Linked DNA regions of Ovis aries. The protein of the gene in region 3 interacts with the protein of the main gene of each other region in a biochemical or structural test. Links are inferred from orthologs where the notes say so. Each region holds a gene or a part of one and is shown on either strand. Other genes may lie near its edges.

Region 1 (3,515 bases), on a different chromosome or scaffold from region 3:
ATAATTTTTAATGTTCCTTTTTATATATGTGTGTTATTCACAGTCCTTCGTAAATAGGATTGTTCAATCAAAGGCCTTATTTTTTTTAATTAAGTGATTAGAACGTTTTAAATGGTGTAACAGTTTTATGGGCTCTTATTTTCTTGTTGCTCTAGATCTCAGTTCTATAGATTTTAAATAGATTTTTATTTGATTTGATTCCACTGAAACTAGGATACCAGAATACCATTGTTGCTGGAAGTCTTATTACAAAATCAAACCTGCATGGTGAGCTGCTTTGATAATTCATTTTCTGTCATTATTTAACATTTTTAGAGTATGTCACTAATGTTCACTAACCATAATTGGATAAATCTGCAGTGAGAAATTTCTAATTCAAAAAATTCCTTTCATTTAAGGGTTATATTATAAATGAGCTTGTAATTTTTAACGTTGTACTTGGACTTTCTTTTTTTAAACAAAAGCATCATTCGATAATTGAACAAAGATATCATATACAATATTTCTAAAGACAGCTCTGAGTGTTGGTGCATACATGGAATATGTGACTTAACTCATTTAGCAGATAGAGAACCTTGAACTCTTTTATCAGTTTAAATTTTGTTAACATACTGTCAGACTCTGCATTTAATGCTGATTTTATTTTACCACAACATTGCAAAATAGCCTTTATGTTTATTAATGGAGAATTAAATTAAAATGCCATGCATCACAGAATTAAATTAAAATGCCATGCATGACAGAAGGAGAATATTCTAGCATCCTCAACTATTCAGAACATTCCTGCAAATCTATGAATATTACCTACTATAAAAACCTTGGACTTAAAATAGATTATGGGTAGGAATTGAGAATTTATTTTTTACTCTGACTTATAATAGAATCTGGTGTCATAATCTATATCCGGTTAGAAAAAACAAATTGTAGGAGAATGGGACTGTTTGAAACATAAGATGACATCTGAAGGAAAGAGAATAAGCATTTCTTAAAGGCACTGTGCTCTTATGTCTGTTTAACTTTTCCCTGTGTTACCTCATTCGCTTGGATGATCATTTTATCTGGAGAATTGAATTAGTAGTGATAACACCTTCAGTATGTTTTGTCAGCCATTCTAAACACATTTCCTTTCAAAGGGGACAAGTTTCAAAAATACTTCGATGGAGTTAAGCTTATATTATCATTTACATGGAGCACCTCATTCCTAATAATGTGAATAAATGAGATATCTGTGTTACCTGTAAAGAAAAATTTACTTTAACTAGATTGAAATCTGAAATACTGAGTGAAGATCTTTAAAGCTTAACTTACATTTCTATACTAGCACTGGCTAATAATACTATTGTAGATAGGTAGATTCCCACTTCATTCATGTAAGGAACGTCAAGCTCATTTCTGATATAACCCTACTACAAATAGTTGGTGTGCATAACTATCTATCTACCTGTCAATGCTAGTATATATGTGCTGGAATTTCATAACATACATTCAATCCCATTTTGAATTTAGTATCTTAAAGAAAAGCAAATGGTTTTATCCCTGAGGAAAATGTTGTTTTATTTCAGAATTACGCAGATATTTTAAGAGTGTTTTTGCAGTAGCCAGCAGCCTTTGAGAAGGTAGCATTGTGGGAAGAAGCTCTCCTAAAACCTGCTGTTAATTTAAAATTTGTTTTTATTCTTTAATTTCTGTCCTGGAATTTATAGAGCACTTGCACTGTAAATGTAGTGTTTTGTTTTTTTTTTTTTTTAAAGGCTGATAAATTAAATCATACTGTATGGAACTTTTAATCTCCTTTTAAAGTTGTTTTCAGTGACTTTATTTAAAAACTATGTAATATTTATTTAACTTTTCCTTTTTTCTTTTTAATAGCAATGATCAAAGCTGAAGAAAGCAGGTAAGCAATTTTGGACATCAGTACGTATTTATAAATTTACAGCATCCTCCTATAACATCCTTGTTTTAATTGTCTGTATACATAGTGTTTAACATGGTAGACCTGATAGTTTGATATCTTTGGAGGATTTGGGACAGGGGAAGAGATGTACTCAGGATACACACATGATGCTCCTAGACAGTTATTTGAATTTGGACTACATCCTTACCAAATTAAGACCATTACAGAAATGTCCAAAATTTGATTTTGGTTAATTTGAGAACAGATGAAATATTTTATCTATCTCTTCCTTTACCCAGATTTTCCTTTCAGTGGGTGAAATAAATAAAATTTAAAGAAATTTACAATATAAATTGAATTTTAAGGCATAATACAATCTAATTGGACATTTTGCAAATGAAAATGATTATTGGTTTTGGAAATGCAGATTGTTGCATCAGTGCATTATATGTTATCACAAATGTTTGCCAAATTAAAGTAATTCTGTTTCATACTGTGGTTTTAATCTTTTTAGATGGCTTAATAGTTTGGCAATACTGCCCTTTTTCCCTTTAGTTTCTCTTATTCATTTGATTTTATAGTAATTTAAAACAGACTTTATTTGTGTTTGCAATTATTTGTATCGAACTGACCAGTTTTCTCTTTTTTAAATATATAGTAAACAAGAAGAGTGCACCACAACATCAGCAGCCCCAGTTCCTACAACAGAAATTCCAACCACAATGAGCACCATGGCTGCTGCAGAAGCAGCAGCTGCTGTTGTTGCAGCCGCAGCCGCAGCCGCAGCAGCTGCTGCTGCAGCCAATGCCAGTGCTTCCACTTCTGCCTCTAGTACTGTCAGTGGAACTGTTCCAGTTGTTCCTGAGCCTGAGGTTACTTCGATTGTTGCTACTGTTGTAGATAATGAAAATACAGTAACAATTTCTACTGAAGAACAAGCACAACTTACTAGTACCCCTTCTGTTCAGGATCAAAGTGAAGTGTCTAGTAATACTGGAGAAGAAACATCTAAGCAGGAAACTGTAGCTGAGTAAGTCTAGTAACTTGTTTTCTGCAAATCAGTCACAGACATCATTGGTAACAAGAAATTGCTGATTTAGTCAATGGTCATTACGTGTTTAAAAATTGAGAATCAAAACATATACCTTTAGATAACAGTTTTTGAGATTTACTTTTGTGGGATCGTGCTCTCAAAAGTGTTGCAAAACTATTCTACTTTAGCTTAGAAAGCAGTGCTGGTGATGGGGTGAGTCTATTTAAGTCTGAGTTATGGCTTAGCACAGCACTGCAGGGAAGTTGCTATAAGTTGATACTGAACAAATATGGAAAAATCAAGATAACACTTAACAATGTATAGGCAAGCTGTTAGTAGGATTAAATTGGTACAGCTTTTTGATAAAGCCTGAGAGCTGCATCTCTGAGTTTACAGGTTCTAATTTCAATAGCTGTGCTTTCTGTGTCTATGAAAAGTAACCTTGAGCTATGCTGCTTGACTTAAAAGTTATCACATGTGAAATATTAACCATGATATCAAGATCCAAACATGATCACCCATCTTAATATTTAAGTCTATTGCTTTCATCTCCCTTCCTCTTTTCATAAACTTTTTTTAATTTTTAGT
Region 2 (3,973 bases), on a different chromosome or scaffold from region 3:
GAGGGCAGAGATTTTGTCTATGTGTGTTTTTTTTTTATGGTTAGCGTTTTTTTTAAGAAATAAATTAATTTAAATTAACTTTTATTGGAGTATAGTTGATTTACAATGGTGTGTTAGTTTCTGCTGTACAGCAAAGTGAATCAGCCATACAAATACATATTCCCATTACATATACATACTCTATTCCCATACAGGGCATTAGAGAGTATTGAGTAGACTTCCCTGTGCTCCACACTGGAAGCTTATTAGCTCTCTATTTTTTATATAGTGGTGTGATGTGGACATCCCAGTCCTGTGCTCTACACTGGATGCTTATTAGCTCTCTGTTTTATTCACAGCAGTGTGCATATGTCCATCGCAGTCTCCCAATTTATCCCCCTAACCCCAATTTGGTCTGTTTCGTACTCTGCTACAGTCCAGCCGCTCATCAGTGCCCTGCAGGAAGCAGGTTCTCAGTAGATAGGTGTTGAATAAACCCTCCTTATAAATCCAAGACAGCCGCTTACAAATCTGCAGTGAAGAGAGCTGCCCCAGCGCCCTTCATAGCGTTTAGGTTTCCGGAAGCGTGCAGGGTTTAAGACAGGAAGAGTGCATCGGGGGTCCCAACGAGTCGCTCAGAGAGCCCCTTAGGAGGTGGCCTGGGTGACTTCCCCGTGGGGCCAGTTTGGGCATTTCTGGAAGAAGCTGGTGCGGGGTGCGGGGGTTATGGGTGCGGTGCTGGGGGAGGAGGTGTCCTCACTCCAGAGCACCCCCCTGCCACACACACACACACAGACTCCAGACCTAAAAAAGTGAGGAACGGGCGGAGAGGGGGAGGGGAGCGACGCCCCGGGGTCCCCGGGGCTCCCGCAGGGGGCCGAGGACCAGGGCGCGCGGGAGACGCTCTCGGCGCCCGCCCGCCGCAGCCAGAGCCCCTCGGCCGGGCGCCGCGGAGCAACCCTGGGAGGGGGAGCAGGGCGCGGGCCCGGGCGCTGGGGGTGCTGCCCGCCCCCCCCGCACCTCCTAAGCCGGCAGCTGCCGCCTCAGCAGCGCGGCGCCTCCACCTGCGCAGCCACCGCTCCGCCCGGCGCCGCGCCGCCATTGGCTCGCTAAAAATGCCTCGCTAATCTGCGCCCATCTGCGCGCCTCCGCCCGCCGCCTCCCCTCCTCCTCGGCTCTGACCTTCCTCCTTCGCGCAGCCCCGGGCAAGGTCCGGAGGGACGCGGCGGCGCAGGCTCTCTTGCCCCCCGGGAAGTCGGCCGGGCTTGAGGCCGGGCCCCCAGACGCCCCGCTTGGCCCCGCGGCGCCGCCGATGGTGCCGGGCGCCCCTGCCCCCAGGTGAGAGGTCTGGCCCTTGGGTACGGGGTAGGGAGGGAGCGCTCCAGTCTAGGGGTGCGTGCTGGGGGCGGGCGCAGAGGCGGACAGGGGGGAGGATCGGACAGCTACCTGCAGAGAGGTGAGCGTGCGACCGCGGGTGCTTTGCAAGCGCCGGGATTCTTGAGCATCACCCGGGGCAGTGTCAGGATGTCCCTGAGCTGGGCCCCCTGGGAGACGGACCTGGCGGAGGCCTTCACCCGAGGGGCGGGGGGGGGGGGGGGGGGGGGAAACGCAGAAAATAGGTGCCGTGGGAAGGTGGGACCCAGGCCCCAGGTCCCATCCGAGGCTCTGGCCTGGCTTGTTCCGGTCCCAACAGGGTGGGTAGGCTGATGCCAGCTTGGTGCGTAGGCTGTTTGTGGACCAGAGTTGGCTGGGGAGAAATACAGCAGCTGATGCCCGCCCTCGGTCCTGTCTGGTTTACAGTGAAAGATATTTTTTTCTGTCTTGTCTGCCCCCTTTCCCCACTGCTGAGATGGGAGGTGGGAGAGGAGGAGAAGGTGAGGATAAATGGCCTGCACAGACCGCAGAGGCCAAGGTCTGTTTGGCCCTGCTCCCTTCCCCACCCCCCAGGCCACTTGCTGCCGGTTGGAATTCTCTCTCCTCCTTAGTTTTGCCTTATGGGAGGCCTTGAAAAGCTTAAAAGGTCATCAGGGTGTGAGGGACACAGTGGCAAACCACAGAGCTTGGCCACGACCCAGCTCCAAGCCCGAGCCGCCCCCCACTCTCTACCGCCCAGCTCTGCACCCCACGTGCAGTGACACATGTGCCCGCTTTTCTCTGGGCACAACCATAAATAACTCACGTTGTCCTGGCTCTGGCCTGGCGAGGGTGCAAACAGGACTGTCAATGGTCTTGGAGGTTCCATCCCTCACCCACCCGGCCTTCCCATCACAGGTCCATAAGCCACTCACGCGCCCTCCTCCAGGTAGCTTCCTGCTATCCCAGGTGAGACCCGTGCCGCCTGCCCCGCATTCTCCAGCCTAGCCTGCCTTGTGCCTCTCCCGTGGCCCATAGACCGGAAGTGCTTCAAGACAGAAGTCTGTGTGATTCATCTGTCATTGCCCCTGCACCTGACCTGGGTCTGGCACCAAGTACATGTTTGTGGAATGAGTGAATGAATCCACGTGAACCCTGAGAAATAGCTGGCACCCTGAAGGAGGGGGGTGAACCCCATCTTGGGCTCTCCTCCCATCCCCCAGGGCCAAAGAGCTACTGAAAACAGACTCTCCCATTCAGGCCCTTCCTTGGCCTAGAGGTGATGAGCAGCTACGGCATTTGGAGATAGATACTGGGGTCCTAATGGCTCTAGAGGGTCTTTTTGGGCACCAGGCTTGAGTCCCTGGCTGGTCCAGGCTTGCTGGAAGGCCCTGGTGAAGGTCTGACTTGCCTCAAGCCTCTGGGTTGGCACTTGCCTCCCAGGGTACTGAGCCCATACCAGGTTCTCTGTCTCTGTCCCAGCCCTTAGAAGGGTCCCGGACAGCATCAGGGCATCTGGGAAGGCTCGAGGCAGGCCATGCTCAGCCTCTGGGGTCCTCACAGCGAGCTCTGAACAGATCTGACGATTGTGTGGAGGAGCCAGTGTAGGCCAGAGGAGGACGCTGCCAGCACGAGCTCTGGTCCAGCCGCAAGGCCGTGCCTGTGACATGGTCATTCTCAGGGCGTCTGCAGCCCTCGTTGCTCCTTTGATAGCCATGCTGATAAGACAGCGAGATGTCCTTGCCATCATCTCACAGAGCGGGAGTCTGAGGGTCAGCAGCAGAGCCCAGCCCAGGACACAGTTCCTGGCTCCAAGTCCAGTGTTCTGTCCACGGCACTCGAGGGAGCTGGGGCGAGGCCCCAGGCCCAGGTCAGTGGGTTGTCCTCAATCGCGTCTGGTTCTGTCCCACCCCCAGTGATGGAGAAAGGAAGGGTGCGATGTTCAGGGCTGGGAGAGGATATGGGGGATAGTTTGGTTAGTGCCTGCAAGTGGTTGGCCCAGGGATGCAGAAAAAACAGTAGAAACCAGCAGTGTACAGCATCTGCCAGGAGCCAGGAGGCAGCCACTTTTTCTGTACTGAGTCACTCAACCTTCACTTCAACCCAATTGGATGCTGTTATTATCCCCATTTTACACATGAGGAGACTGAGGCACTGAGAGGTCATCTGTCCAAGGTTACATGGTTTGAAACCGGAGGAGCTTGGATTTGAACCGAGGCTCCAGAGTCCGTTATTCCCTAACGTATTCCCTAACGCAAGAGCAGGAGGGCTGTGGACCTTGGGGCTGGGGCTGTGTCTCCATGGAGACACAGGTTTTAGGTACTCCCACGTGGCAGATAGTGTGTGCTTGATTAGGTGGGACTGTAATGGTTTCAGAGGCTCAAGATGAAAACTCTTTGAGCTCCTGCTGTGTGGCAGGCAGAGATGTTTATAGGACGCCCACCTGAGTCTGTCCCTCCCCTGCTCTGCGTCCGTCGACGGCTCCCTGTTTCTTTGAGGACAGAGCGCAGTCTCCCTCCCGTGGCCCCGCTGCCCTCTCCGGGCCTGGGCTTCCTCTCCATCCTCTGCCCTCCAGCTGCTCTGAACTGCTTTCAGTTCCTCAAATAAACCACCCTCCTCTCACCTGCAGGCCTGTGCACAG
Region 3 (3,515 bases):
CGCTCACGCACCAGGCCTACCCCCAGCCACGACACGTGGACGAAGAGGGTAAGCTTCTGCTACGCTGCAGGCAGCAAGGCGGCGTCCTGAGCGAAGCCTGGGGCCCTGCTGCTGACGGGGACGCCGTGCATCAGGGCCCCTTCCGTTTCTAAGGTTGCAGCAGTTGTGGGAAACAGTCGCCACCCTCATGCCATGGACGGCAGAAGCGCAGTCCTAGGGGTCAAAGTGGCCTGCCCTGCCTCATGGAGCACACCGCTCTGCCTGGCACACAGGGGTCAGGGTGGCAGTGATTACAGGTGGCTCCCGCAGGGAACCCCGCACCCTCCAGCCGAGGGGCGGAGACACAGGCTGAACCCGGCTCAGTACCGCCCATCAAGGGGGCACCGCCTGACCTGATCTGAACACGGGGAAAGAAACGCTCTCTCACACACACATGCACACACACTCCGTTACCGTGACAGCTTTGTGTGTATTACAGAACATACGCACACGACTGTGTCCTGCCTCAACTCCTCCCTGGAATAAAAGAAGGCAGATCCCACCACCGCCCCGGCTCCCGGCAGCTGTGTTAGGGCGATGCGCCCACAGGGCCCCGGCCTACCCAGCGTGTTGATGCGGTAGATGAACTCTTTAAAGACCTCCTTCTCCTGGAGGAACTCCACGGGGATCTCAGGGAACACTGTGCCGAAATCCCCGCCCGGTTTGGGTGACCATCCGAGTTTCCATACCTAAGAGGGTGGGAGAGAAACAGTGAAGGCAGGGTGGCCGGACAGGGAGGGCACCTGAAAATGCGCCTTCTCTCCCGACAGCTCCCTGGCTGCAGACACGGTTGAACGGGGGAGCTCTCCGAGTCCAGCGTTGTCGTCCGGCGCTGCTCCAGCGGCAGGAGCCCAGCTCCCAGCCGGCCCCTCGAGGGTGCGAGCCACCAGCCAGGGCTCGCGCTGGGTCCCCGAGTCCGGCCCCTGGTGCAGCAGCTCCAGTGCCTCTGGCACTCTCAGGGAGTTGCGTGGGGTGCAGCACTCGCGCAAGGAGCCTCGCCTACGGGGCGTGGTCTGTGCGGGCCAGACAGCAGGGCCTCCGGACTGTGCCTTCCTGTATCTGCTCCCCACTCCCTCCCAAAGGCTCAACACCTGCGGGGACGGCCCGAGGGTGGCACCAGCTCCCCGGCTCTCCTCCCATTTCCACGGTGACCTCAGGACAGCAGCTGCTGGGCTTTCTCTCAGAAGGAGCCCCCAGTGGGACTTCTTCCCCTCCCACAGCAAAATCCTCTTCAAGCCAAGGGCCTCTCACCTCCTCCGAGCAGCCACTGCAGAATCTCGAGCGCACAGAGGTTGCGCCCCCCGCAGCTGGCGCGCGCCCTCCCCAGGTAGCAACAAGCACCTGCCTCCGGCCCCGGCCCGCCTCCCCCGGACGGCTAAGCCCCACACCCTGCTCATCCAGGCCCTGCCAGTTATCTGGAGCCAGGTCCTTTAACGATGCCCACTGGATCGTGGTTCCAGTTCCGAAGCCAGCTTTGGAAGAGCAGCTGAGCTGCGGCTCTGCCAAACCCCCGGGCCGCCCTGGGGTGACTGCTGACAGGGGTCTAATTTCTGCTCTCCCACTAAACAAACGGGCCTGATGACTGTAGAATCATGCCTGGCGCCTGCTACGTACCTCCTCACCCCGTTTCAGGGCACTCCTACTAACGGCCGAGCTACGTCACGCCCGAGGAACCCGGACGGTCGTCTTGACTGCACACAGGCCCCGTCAGCGGGCATCGGAGCGCTCATGACCTGGCTTCCTGCTCAGGGACCCCCGAGTTGGGGGCCTGCCGAGAGTCTGCCTCGTTTCCGTCCTGCGCCAGGGGAGGGCAGACTCACCAGGGGCGGGACACGCGTGTAGCTGTTGACGAGGGGCAGGCGGGCCAAGCTGATGATGATGTTCCTGAGCACCGGTGTGAGGAACGCGGGCGTGTGGCTGTTCCTCTTGTGGCCCAAGGCCAACACCGACGGCAGGCACTCCACCATCTCGGCCACCATGCCACAGGCTGCAGCGACGTACTGAGGGGCTGAACAGACACCACCGTAAGAGGCCCCTTCTGTTGAAACACACCCCGAACCGCCGCCCCGCCCCCGACCTGCCCAGCCTCGCAGGATGGGAGGCACAGGCCAACCACGCGCCAGAGACGTGACCTGTCGTGGGCGCCTCACGTGGACTCATTTACTTCACCCTCCTGTAGCCCCATCAGCTGAGCGGGACACCCCCGCGGGGAGTGGGGTCACAGAGAGCCAGGCGGCGGAGCATGCCCACAGCGGGGTGGGCAGGGCGCCACCCCCAGCTCCAGGACAAGCAGGATACAGCTGAGGTCGGGTCAAGCGTCCACACCGACCGCGCGGGAGGCCTCTTCCGTGACCGAGTCTCAAGCCCCTGCAGGCGCGGCGGAAGAGGCGTGAGCCTGAGACTCACTCTGTGTGTCTGAGTCCACGCCGTCCTCTCTGGCAGACCTGGGGGCGCTCGTCCTGCTTTCTGGACTAAGAAGCTGGTCCCCGGGCTGCACCACAACTAAGATCACAACAGAACAAACAGAAGCGTTCCAGAGCATGTCGACCACTCCTTTCTGTTCAGATTTTTACATTCGCGCAGCCTTATGAACATTTCCCAAGTGACAGACTAGGTCGAAAGAGGTTGAAATTTCCTAGATTCAACTTGGGACGATTTCAGACCCACTAGACTCGGGTATCAACCTCTGGGTCAGTCTAAAACGCTTCTACACTTGAGTCCCCAGTCCTCCTGCTCGCTGCCACCTCTGACCCTGAGGGCTTTCATCAGGCAGCTCATGATCCATTACTGCTAACAGCATGCCTGGAGCCCCAAGAAGCCTGGCTTTGGTAAATCACTCCCTGGATCCTCGTTTTCATGTTACTACAAATGCACAGATGAAAACAATTTAAACAATGACTCTTCAAAACACCACTCTATATTTAATTTAAAAATACAAAACATCAAGACACCCTCTCACATGTAAACTATAACACCCAATTTTAAAAACATTTTGACTAATGACCCTTGTTAAGGACACTGTCCCTTGAAAAGAATAAGACACTTTTATTTCAAAATTAATACAGTATAGAAACAAGCATTTCGACTATAACAGAAAACAAGGAATTTTTTTGAACGTAATCTTATTAGTCTTATGATGATTTACGACTAAAAGAATGAAACAGTTAACCAGGACCAGAAATCAAAGGGCCATAAATTAGATGCATTTTTTAATGAAAGCTGAAATTCCAAATCTACACAGAAGCAACTAAATTCTAGTGCCGACTCCAGGAGACTGGAGATGAAGGCAAGGCCCGTAAATCCTCCACCTCCTCACTCCCGAGTCCCAACTCAGCACCTGGAGAGCAGGTGGCAAGCGACCACTTGCGACTAGCCCTGTGGCGCTGACCGCCGCTTCAAGGGCCAGATGACAGCACGCCCCCGTCTCAGACTCACTGGCCTCCAGGATGAACCGCACACAGTGGATGAGGGAGCAG
Region 4 (3,515 bases), on a different chromosome or scaffold from region 3:
AAGAAATTACGTTTTTTTTTTAAAAAAGAACTTAAGAAAAAAATAAGCACAAAAATAAGAAATGTACAAAAACAAAAAACAGTTTGAATTCTTTGTAGGTTACTCTATATTATGGAAAAAACCCGAATCAAAAACACTTAAGTACATGGACTTCCCAGGTGGTCCAGTGGTTAAGATTACACACTTACAGTGTAGGGAACATGGGTTCAATCCCTGGTCGGGGAACTAAGATCCTGCCTGTTGCATAGCACCCCCCAAAATTTAATTAAAAGGGGAAAAAAAGCTCTTGAGTACAGTAGAGTTTCCCTCTCACAAAGCTTCAAGTGGATTTAAGTTTTTGAAATAAATTCTCTGACTTCCACCTAAGTATGATTTCATTTCTGTTATGTTTTTTTTCTCTGCTCCTCTGCTAATGTGTGCTGTTAAAACCCAAGGCAAATCTCTTTTGGAAATCTCCATAGTGCCCACTAATGGATCACACATGGTACAAATTGGTTTGGCAAAAACATTTCAGAACTGATTTCCTGAGAGGAGCTTAGGATTTGCTCCATATAGGGAATTTTTTTTTTTTTTAAATATACCTTGAATTAGTTATGGTCCTTTTTTCCCCTTTTTAACTTTTTTCCATCCCATCTTCTTCCACTGATGTCTCTCATAGTACTCTATCTTTTCAGCTTTTAATCTTTACCTTTTGGCTCTTGACCTTTATTTTGGAGAAGGGAAAGCTTTGTAGTTGTAAAATATTATGTTTTAAAGTTCTCCACCAAATGCTTAATGGAGAGACCTTTTGTTCACTAATAAGTTCCCAGTCAAAAATATCACCACATCACCATATTCACAGTGGCTACCATGGAAAATGCATGTATTGAGACTTAACATCCAGAAAAATACAGGAAAATGCCTCATAGATTTCACAAGTCACCTTGAAAATGACATCACACATTGGAATTGACTATAAAGATTTAGCTGTTGATATTAAAAGTGAAGGCTTTTGGGAATTCCCTTGTGGTCCAGTAGTTAAGACTCTGCACGTTCACTGCAAGGGGCACAAGTTTGGTCCCTGATCCAGGGACTAAGATCCTGCATGCCATAAACAAATTTAAAAAAATAAAATGAAAAAAAAAAAAAGAATTGAAAAAAATAATAAAATAAAATAAAATGAAGGCATTTGTGTGTGTGTGTTGAGAAGTCTTTTTTCTTTTTGTAAACTGTACATATCTAAGTGCACATTTTGATGTTTATTTATTTATAGCTACACTAGGTCTTTATGGCTCTGTGGGCTTTCTTTTGTCGTGATTGGGGGCTACTCTTTGTTGTGGTGCACCGGCTTCTCATTGCAATGGCTTCTCTTGTTGCATTGCACGGGCTGTAGGGCCCGCAGACTTCAGTAGTTGCAACCCCTGGGCTCTAGAGCACAGGCTCAGTAGTGGTGGCACATGGACTTAGTTGCTCCATGGCATGTGGGATCTTCCCGGAACTGGTTCGAACCTATGTCTCCTAAGTTGATAGGCAGATTCCTTTTTTTTTTTTTTTAAATAAAAACTTCGATTAGTTTTGAGTGGGTCCAGTAATTACTGTGGGTACTTTATGACTCTAATTTTGTCTCTAAAATGAACAAAGAATAATTGTGTTTTCATTTCCAGGGGCTCTGGGGATCCTGGCAAGAAGAAACAGCACATTTGTCACATGCAAGGCTGTGGCAAAGTATATGGCAAGACCTCACACCTACGGGCACACTTGCGCTGGCATACAGGCGAGAGGCCTTTCATGTGTACCTGGTCATTCTGTGGGAAACGCTTCACACGTTCAGATGAGTTACAGAGGCACAAACGCACACACACAGGTGAGCGGGAACTTGGGAAGGGAGAGGTAGTAATGGACCAGAATGAAAAGACAAAATATACCTCGGAAGTAACTAAAATTTCTGAGCAACTTATGTTTGAAATTGAATGTATGGATCATAAATGGCATTGGAGTTAATCTGAAAACCCTTAAGAAATAAGGGTTCTGAAGGTCCTATCTTACTTTTCTGCTATACTTCTTCCTTTCTGAGGACTCTCTAATCTTTACTCTTTTTTCCCCCCAAAAGACAAAAGATAATCACCAGAATTTTCTTGTTTTTAATCACCTTTAAGATTAGTCTTATTCTGCCTTATATAGTTTGAAGGGAATGAATTGAACAAGGTATCCCTACTTCCTAAGATGTGATTGTCTCATCTTCTTACTCTTCCTTTACCTAGGTGAGAAGAAATTTGCCTGCCCTGAGTGTCCCAAGCGCTTCATGAGGAGTGACCACCTGTCAAAGCATATCAAGACCCACCAGAATAAGAAGGGAGGCCCGGGTGTAGCCCTGAGTGTGGGCACTTTGCCCCTGGACAGTGGGGCAGGTTCAGAAGGCAGTGGTACTGCCACCCCTTCAGCCCTTATTACCACCAACATGGTAGCCATGGAGGCCATTTGTCCGGAGGGTATTGCCCGTCTTGCCAACAGTGGCATCAATGTCATGCAGGTGGCAGATCTGCAGTCCATCAATATCAGTGGCAATGGCTTCTGAGGTCAGGCACCTGGGGCCAGAGACGTATGGGCCATACCCGTCAACCCTGGGATGCAAGGTAGCATGGGTCCAAGAGACGCGTGGGAGAGTGAGCCGTGAGGCATTGAAATGCGTGGTGGTGGGAAGAATTGGGGGTGGGACACAGAAGAGATGGGGTCCTGGCACCCACCTGTGTCATCAGTACCTTCTTAAAGTGGGAAACATAGTGAAAATTCTGTTGGTGCCACCTTTGATGAGCATTTGTTTGACCCCAAACAGTTTCTGAACACTTCTTACCCCAGCCTCCCCTTCCTGCATTTCCCTTCTCAGCTCCCCCATGATGGATCCCCCCCTTTCCTAAAGCCATCATGCCTTGATAAATATATATGATCATTGAAATACTTTTTAACAAAAACAGATTCTATATTATATATATATATATAAAAGATATATAGAGATGCATTTGCAGGGGTTGGCTGGGAGGAGGAAGGAGACCATTCGGTGACCAAAATACCTTGGTCATTTTTTTATATTGCCTTATTTCCTTATGGCTGAGCCTTGTTGTGACACATCAAGATTTTCTATAGATGTTGTCTTGGCTTCCCACCAGATTAAGCATTTATATGCTCTGCTTTTAGTTTATATATACATAGATAATGTTTTCCTTTTCTTAATTTTGTCTTTTAATTTGGGATCAGCTTCTTGCACTCTTTCCCTGACTCAACCCTTTCTGTCTCCCCTTCTCTCACCTGATCACTTCATGTTTTGTTTTTGGTAGTGGTCCCTGGATGAGGCACTTCTGTCATGTTTTTATAAAGTCCTTAGTCCCAGCAGCAGAATGGAGAAGCCTTGAAGCTCAGGCGAATGCTTGAGGTAGCTGTGAAGAGAGTGTTCAAAATACTACTGACGCAGGCACCCTTTTGGTGCTGGAGAGTCAAAGGCACCTCTCTCTTCATTAGCTGCTCTAAGCATCAGGAATCAG
Region 5 (3,959 bases), on a different chromosome or scaffold from region 3:
AAATGCCTCCAGGTATATTATTTAATCTAGTCTCCCATAATCAACCTGTGAGGTAAGTAGTATCCTTATTTTGCAATAAGGAACCCAAGGCTAAGAAAAGCTGGAAAACTTGCCTGGGACCACAGCCCCTCCATGTGCCTGGCTATCAAATTTCAGCCTCTTCCAGTTCCCATACCAGTGCTCGGCCCAGTACTCAGAAGCCACACAGAGCTGTGGTTAAAGGTTGGGATCACAACATGCTGTCTGACCTTGGGCAAGTTACTTAACTTCTCTGTGCCTCAATTTCCTCCAGATAAAATGTGGTTGATACTCACCTCATAGGTCCTTGTCAATATCACCTCACAGTACTTTACTGAAATTAAAGAAGGTGATACAATAAAGTACTCAGAAAAGTGCCAAACATAATTAGTTACAATCATCCGCCCACCTTCACTGATTCCATGGTCTCTTAACTCATTAAATTTTTTTTATAACTCATGTTCATATGGCTCAGACTGTAAAGAATCTGCCTGCAATGAGGGAGACCAGGGTTCGATCCCTGGGTTGGGAAGATCTCCTGGAGAAGTGAATGGCTGCCCATTCCAGTATTCTTGCCTGGAGAATTCTGTGGACAGAGGAGCCTGGCAGGCTGCAGTCCATGGGGTAGCAAAGATTCAGACACGACTGAGTGACTAACACACACATACATTGGGTAAGTAGTCATTAAACAATACACATTTTTGCAGATTGACTAAGGTGAGGTTTTTAGAATTGTTCTCTTTCCTTTTCTTCACTCTCTTATTGCCCTAATAGTTTCAACAACACAGAAACTCTTTTCCTGATTCATTCTACCTCCCTTACACACACACACACACACACACACACACACACACACACACACACACACGCCACTAGCTCAAATCTGGCCAATTATCAGTGCCCCACAGAATGTAAGATACTGCCTAACACTGACCTAGACTCTCCTTGTTGGGACGTCCCTGGATAGCTAGAGAAACTTTCACAAACCTAATTTCCATCACTATAATGGGTCAAACTCTTATGTGTATTTCTCTATTGCTCCAGTTTTTACTGGAGACTCTAAAAGGAATGAATTACCATTTATTTTCCTTGTCCATTACAAGAAAGATTTACACTGTTTCCTGGAGCAAGAAGCCTTGTGTGCCCAGGCAGCTAGACGAGGGCATAATGCCCATAGCAGACAAGCATCTTCCTTCCTTTCTGGGGTCCAATCCACAGAATTAGAAAATAAAGCTTAAACCCAGCCAGACCCTGGGAGAGAGAAGTAAAGAGCCTTCTCTCCCATCCCGTGTGGGGTAGAATGATGACCTAGGGAGGGGACACTGCCTACTTTACACCACCTGGACACACCTGTGAAGGGCCAGAGGTGCCTGGAAAAAGAAGAGGAATTAGTCTCCTGGGTTTTCATGAAAAGTTTCCTTCTTTGCAAGATTCCCTACATGGAACACTCGATCAGGACCTCACAATCTTTATCTAAAACCCCACTGCCCTTCCTTCACATGGTACTAAGTTTGGGGAGGGCGGTGGGGAGCAGAACAGAACGGGAGAACCAGCTTCTGGCAGCGGAAGCCCCCTGGCTCTTCAAAGGTTTCACTCCGAGAGCAAGAGTGAGCGCGAGTGAGGAACAAACTTGCCCATACAACTTCAGCAGTGGGATTAAAAGAAGTGCTGTGCCCTTCGAAATGGATTTTGCATACAAACCAGCCGATGAACACCATAAACATGTCAGCTTTATTCAGTCCAATCAATACACCAGGCATTAAAACTCTGAGGTAAAAATGGATTGTGGCTTTTTGTTGATGACAGTGAGGAATTTTGGCCCCTAGCCCTGCTCAGGCTGGACAATTTAGGGCAGGCTGCCTATTAGCTGTCAGGCACATTTAGGGGGATGAAATCAAAACCCCGATTCAGGGTTCTGGGCACCCCAGAACAACCCAACTTGACCCGAATCGGGGCCACTGGTCCAGGACCCTCAATATCTGTCCTTGGGCCGGCCCCCTCCTCCAGCCCCCGGTCATCTTCCAAACTCGGCCACACACCGCATTTCCTACATTCCTTCCTCCGGGCTCAGACCCCTTCAGTCCGGTCCTCCGAGGCCGACAGCTGGGGGCTGGCGTGAGCCAAGCTAGAGGCACAAGGAAGGGGATGCTAGGGACGGGGGGAATGTCAACGCAGTCCTGAAGTGATCGAGCGGAGAGTACAGGGCGCCCCAGCCCTCACATTCCCGACTCAGCGCCCCACTCTCTGCAGCCACACTTGCGACCCCCAGCGCCACCCCCCCCCCGCCAGGGACCTTCCCCAGCTAGGGGCACCCCTTCCATTCGGCCCCCTTTTCGCGTTCCTTCCCCTCTCACCGCCCCCGTGACCCCTGCCCTGCCCCGCCGGGACCGGCTCCAGTCGGTCGCACCGCGCGGACCGTGCCAGCTGCTCAGAGCCGCCCTGCCCTCTCCCCCAGGCCAGCCGGGATGGCCCCGGGGTCCCCGACCTTCCCAGACCGCCTTGACCACCGCACCAGATGCCCCCTTGCTCAGTCCTTCCCTGGGCCTGCAAGATCCCTACTCCCTTCGAGTCCCCTCCAGGACACTGCGGGATGCCCCAGCCGTGCACGACCGGGGGTGTCCCCCACCCCGCCCCGGTCCTCACCTGAGTCCGCTCAAAGCTCTCCCGCTCCGCAGCCTCCATCCCCGCGCCAACCCCACGCCGGCTCAGCACCTTCGGCAGGGGGTTGGGGACCTGCTTCATGGAGCTGGCCATCCGGTCCATGTCGCCGCGCGGAGCCGAGTCAGGGGCCCTCAGCCGCCCCGGGATCCCCACGGCGCCGCCCGCCCCTCCCTATCCACTGGGATCCGGCGCTAACGGGAAGGCGCCCGCCTCCCATTGGCTGAGAGCGCTGCTACTCTGCCGAGGCCCCGCCCCAGCCCAGAGGCTTCCCCGTCCGCCCCCGCCCTCTCCAGAGCCCCCGCCCCGGCCCTACCCTGCAGGGCGCTCCGGACCGTCAGGCGCGCCGGGACGGGCCCGGAGGCCTGTCGGTCACCGGCCTCCACCGCCCCTGGCGGGGGCGGGCCTGACCTGCCCTAGCCCGCCCCTTCCCCGACGCCCAGAGCGCGGCTCTCCCAGCCGCTGGCTGCACCCGCGAGCTCCCAGCGAGCCGCACTCTCCCAGTCCCCCCACCCCACCCCGGGCGCCGCGAGGTCCCGGCTTGGTTGGTGGGCGGGGGTCAAGCTGGCGGTGAGTTGGGCCTGCCGCAGGGAATCCGGGCCCGCGTGGGACTGGCCTGTTAACTCTTTTCGGGCCGGAGACAAGAGCGCGCGCGATGGACCAGCTCGGCGGCCCCTGTCCCAGGATGCGCTTGCCCTGAGGCCGGGCCTCCGCAGGTTGGTTCAGCGGGTCGCAGACCTGGCCGGCGTGGGTAGCGGCTCCCACCGCCTTCTCCCTCGTCCTGCCCCTGCCCCGAATCCCTGCCCATCCCTTTTGTAATGTTCGCAGACCAGGGAGCGCTGGGCTGGGTCAGTGGAAACTTCTCGACACCTTTACAAACCTCTCACCCTCTGGATCTGGTCAGGATGTATTCGTTGGTAGAAACCCATGTGGACATTTTAATATTTATCCCCGGCTCTGGGACACCCCTCCCATCCTGCTCCGTCGTCAGCCAAGGTACTGACGACAGGCGTAGGGGGGATGGAAGGGGGTGGAAGTAAGATCCTTAGCCGAGATGCTGAAGAAAGTTAAAAGTTTTCTGTTCAAATGCCAATTTTGATGTTTTAAAAATAAATGCTTTTTGCAACTCAAAGTAAAGAAAGGCGTTACTTTTTTTTTTTTTTTTTTGACTAAGAGCTTTTGATAAAAATTCACACATTCAATAGAGAAGCAGAAGAGGGGGTGGGCCTATGTAGGCACTGGGGAGCCTCTGACGGCTTTGCCAGCTGGCATCGTGTGGATGG

Evidence for each region.
Region 1: the proteins of HTT (region 3) and PRPF40A form a complex in vitro, tested with the Homo sapiens proteins (2 studies listed by BioGRID and IntAct, with this or other methods). The link is inferred for Ovis aries from reciprocal best matches to the Homo sapiens genes HTT and PRPF40A.
Region 2: the proteins of HTT (region 3) and PACSIN1 form a complex in vitro, tested with the Homo sapiens proteins (2 studies listed by BioGRID and IntAct). The link is inferred for Ovis aries from reciprocal best matches to the Homo sapiens genes HTT and PACSIN1.
Region 4: the proteins of HTT (region 3) and SP1 form a complex in vitro, tested with the Homo sapiens proteins (2 studies listed by BioGRID). The link is inferred for Ovis aries from reciprocal best matches to the Homo sapiens genes HTT and SP1.
Region 5: the proteins of HTT (region 3) and HIP1 form a complex in vitro, tested with the Homo sapiens proteins (2 studies listed by BioGRID). The link is inferred for Ovis aries from reciprocal best matches to the Homo sapiens genes HTT and HIP1.

The regions. Positions count from the first base shown.
Region 1 is NC_056055.1:156,941,818-156,945,332, forward strand, and holds part of PRPF40A (pre-mRNA-processing factor 40 homolog A), read left to right. Parts: intron 1-213; coding exon 214-267; intron 268-1,869; coding exon 1,870-1,894; intron 1,895-2,552; coding exon 2,553-2,924; intron 2,925-3,515.
Region 2 is NC_056073.1:8,655,030-8,659,002, forward strand, and holds the start of PACSIN1 (protein kinase C and casein kinase substrate in neurons protein 1), read left to right. Parts: upstream 1-1,158; 5' UTR 1,159-1,317; intron 1,318-3,973. UniProt on the Homo sapiens protein: Plays a role in the reorganization of the microtubule cytoskeleton via its interaction with MAPT; this decreases microtubule stability and inhibits MAPT-induced microtubule polymerization.
Region 3 is NC_056059.1:116,338,655-116,342,169, forward strand, and holds part of HTT (huntingtin), read right to left. Parts: coding exon 3,475-3,515; coding exon of another isoform or gene 3,377-3,474; intron 2,542-3,376; coding exon 2,446-2,541; intron 2,048-2,445; coding exon 1,860-2,047; intron 729-1,859; coding exon 602-728; intron 1-601.
Region 4 is NC_056056.1:133,094,304-133,097,818, reverse strand, and holds part of SP1 (transcription factor Sp1), read left to right. Parts: intron 1-1,643; coding exon 1,644-1,843; intron 1,844-2,240; coding exon 2,241-2,554; 3' UTR 2,555-3,515. UniProt on the Homo sapiens protein: Transcription factor that can activate or repress transcription in response to physiological and pathological stimuli.
Region 5 is NC_056077.1:34,461,032-34,464,990, forward strand, and holds the start of HIP1 (huntingtin-interacting protein 1), read right to left. Parts: upstream 2,803-3,959; 5' UTR 2,782-2,802; coding exon 2,662-2,781; intron 2,087-2,661; exon of another isoform or gene 1-2,086. UniProt on the Homo sapiens protein: Plays a role in clathrin-mediated endocytosis and trafficking. Involved in regulating AMPA receptor trafficking in the central nervous system in an NMDA-dependent manner. Regulates presynaptic nerve terminal activity.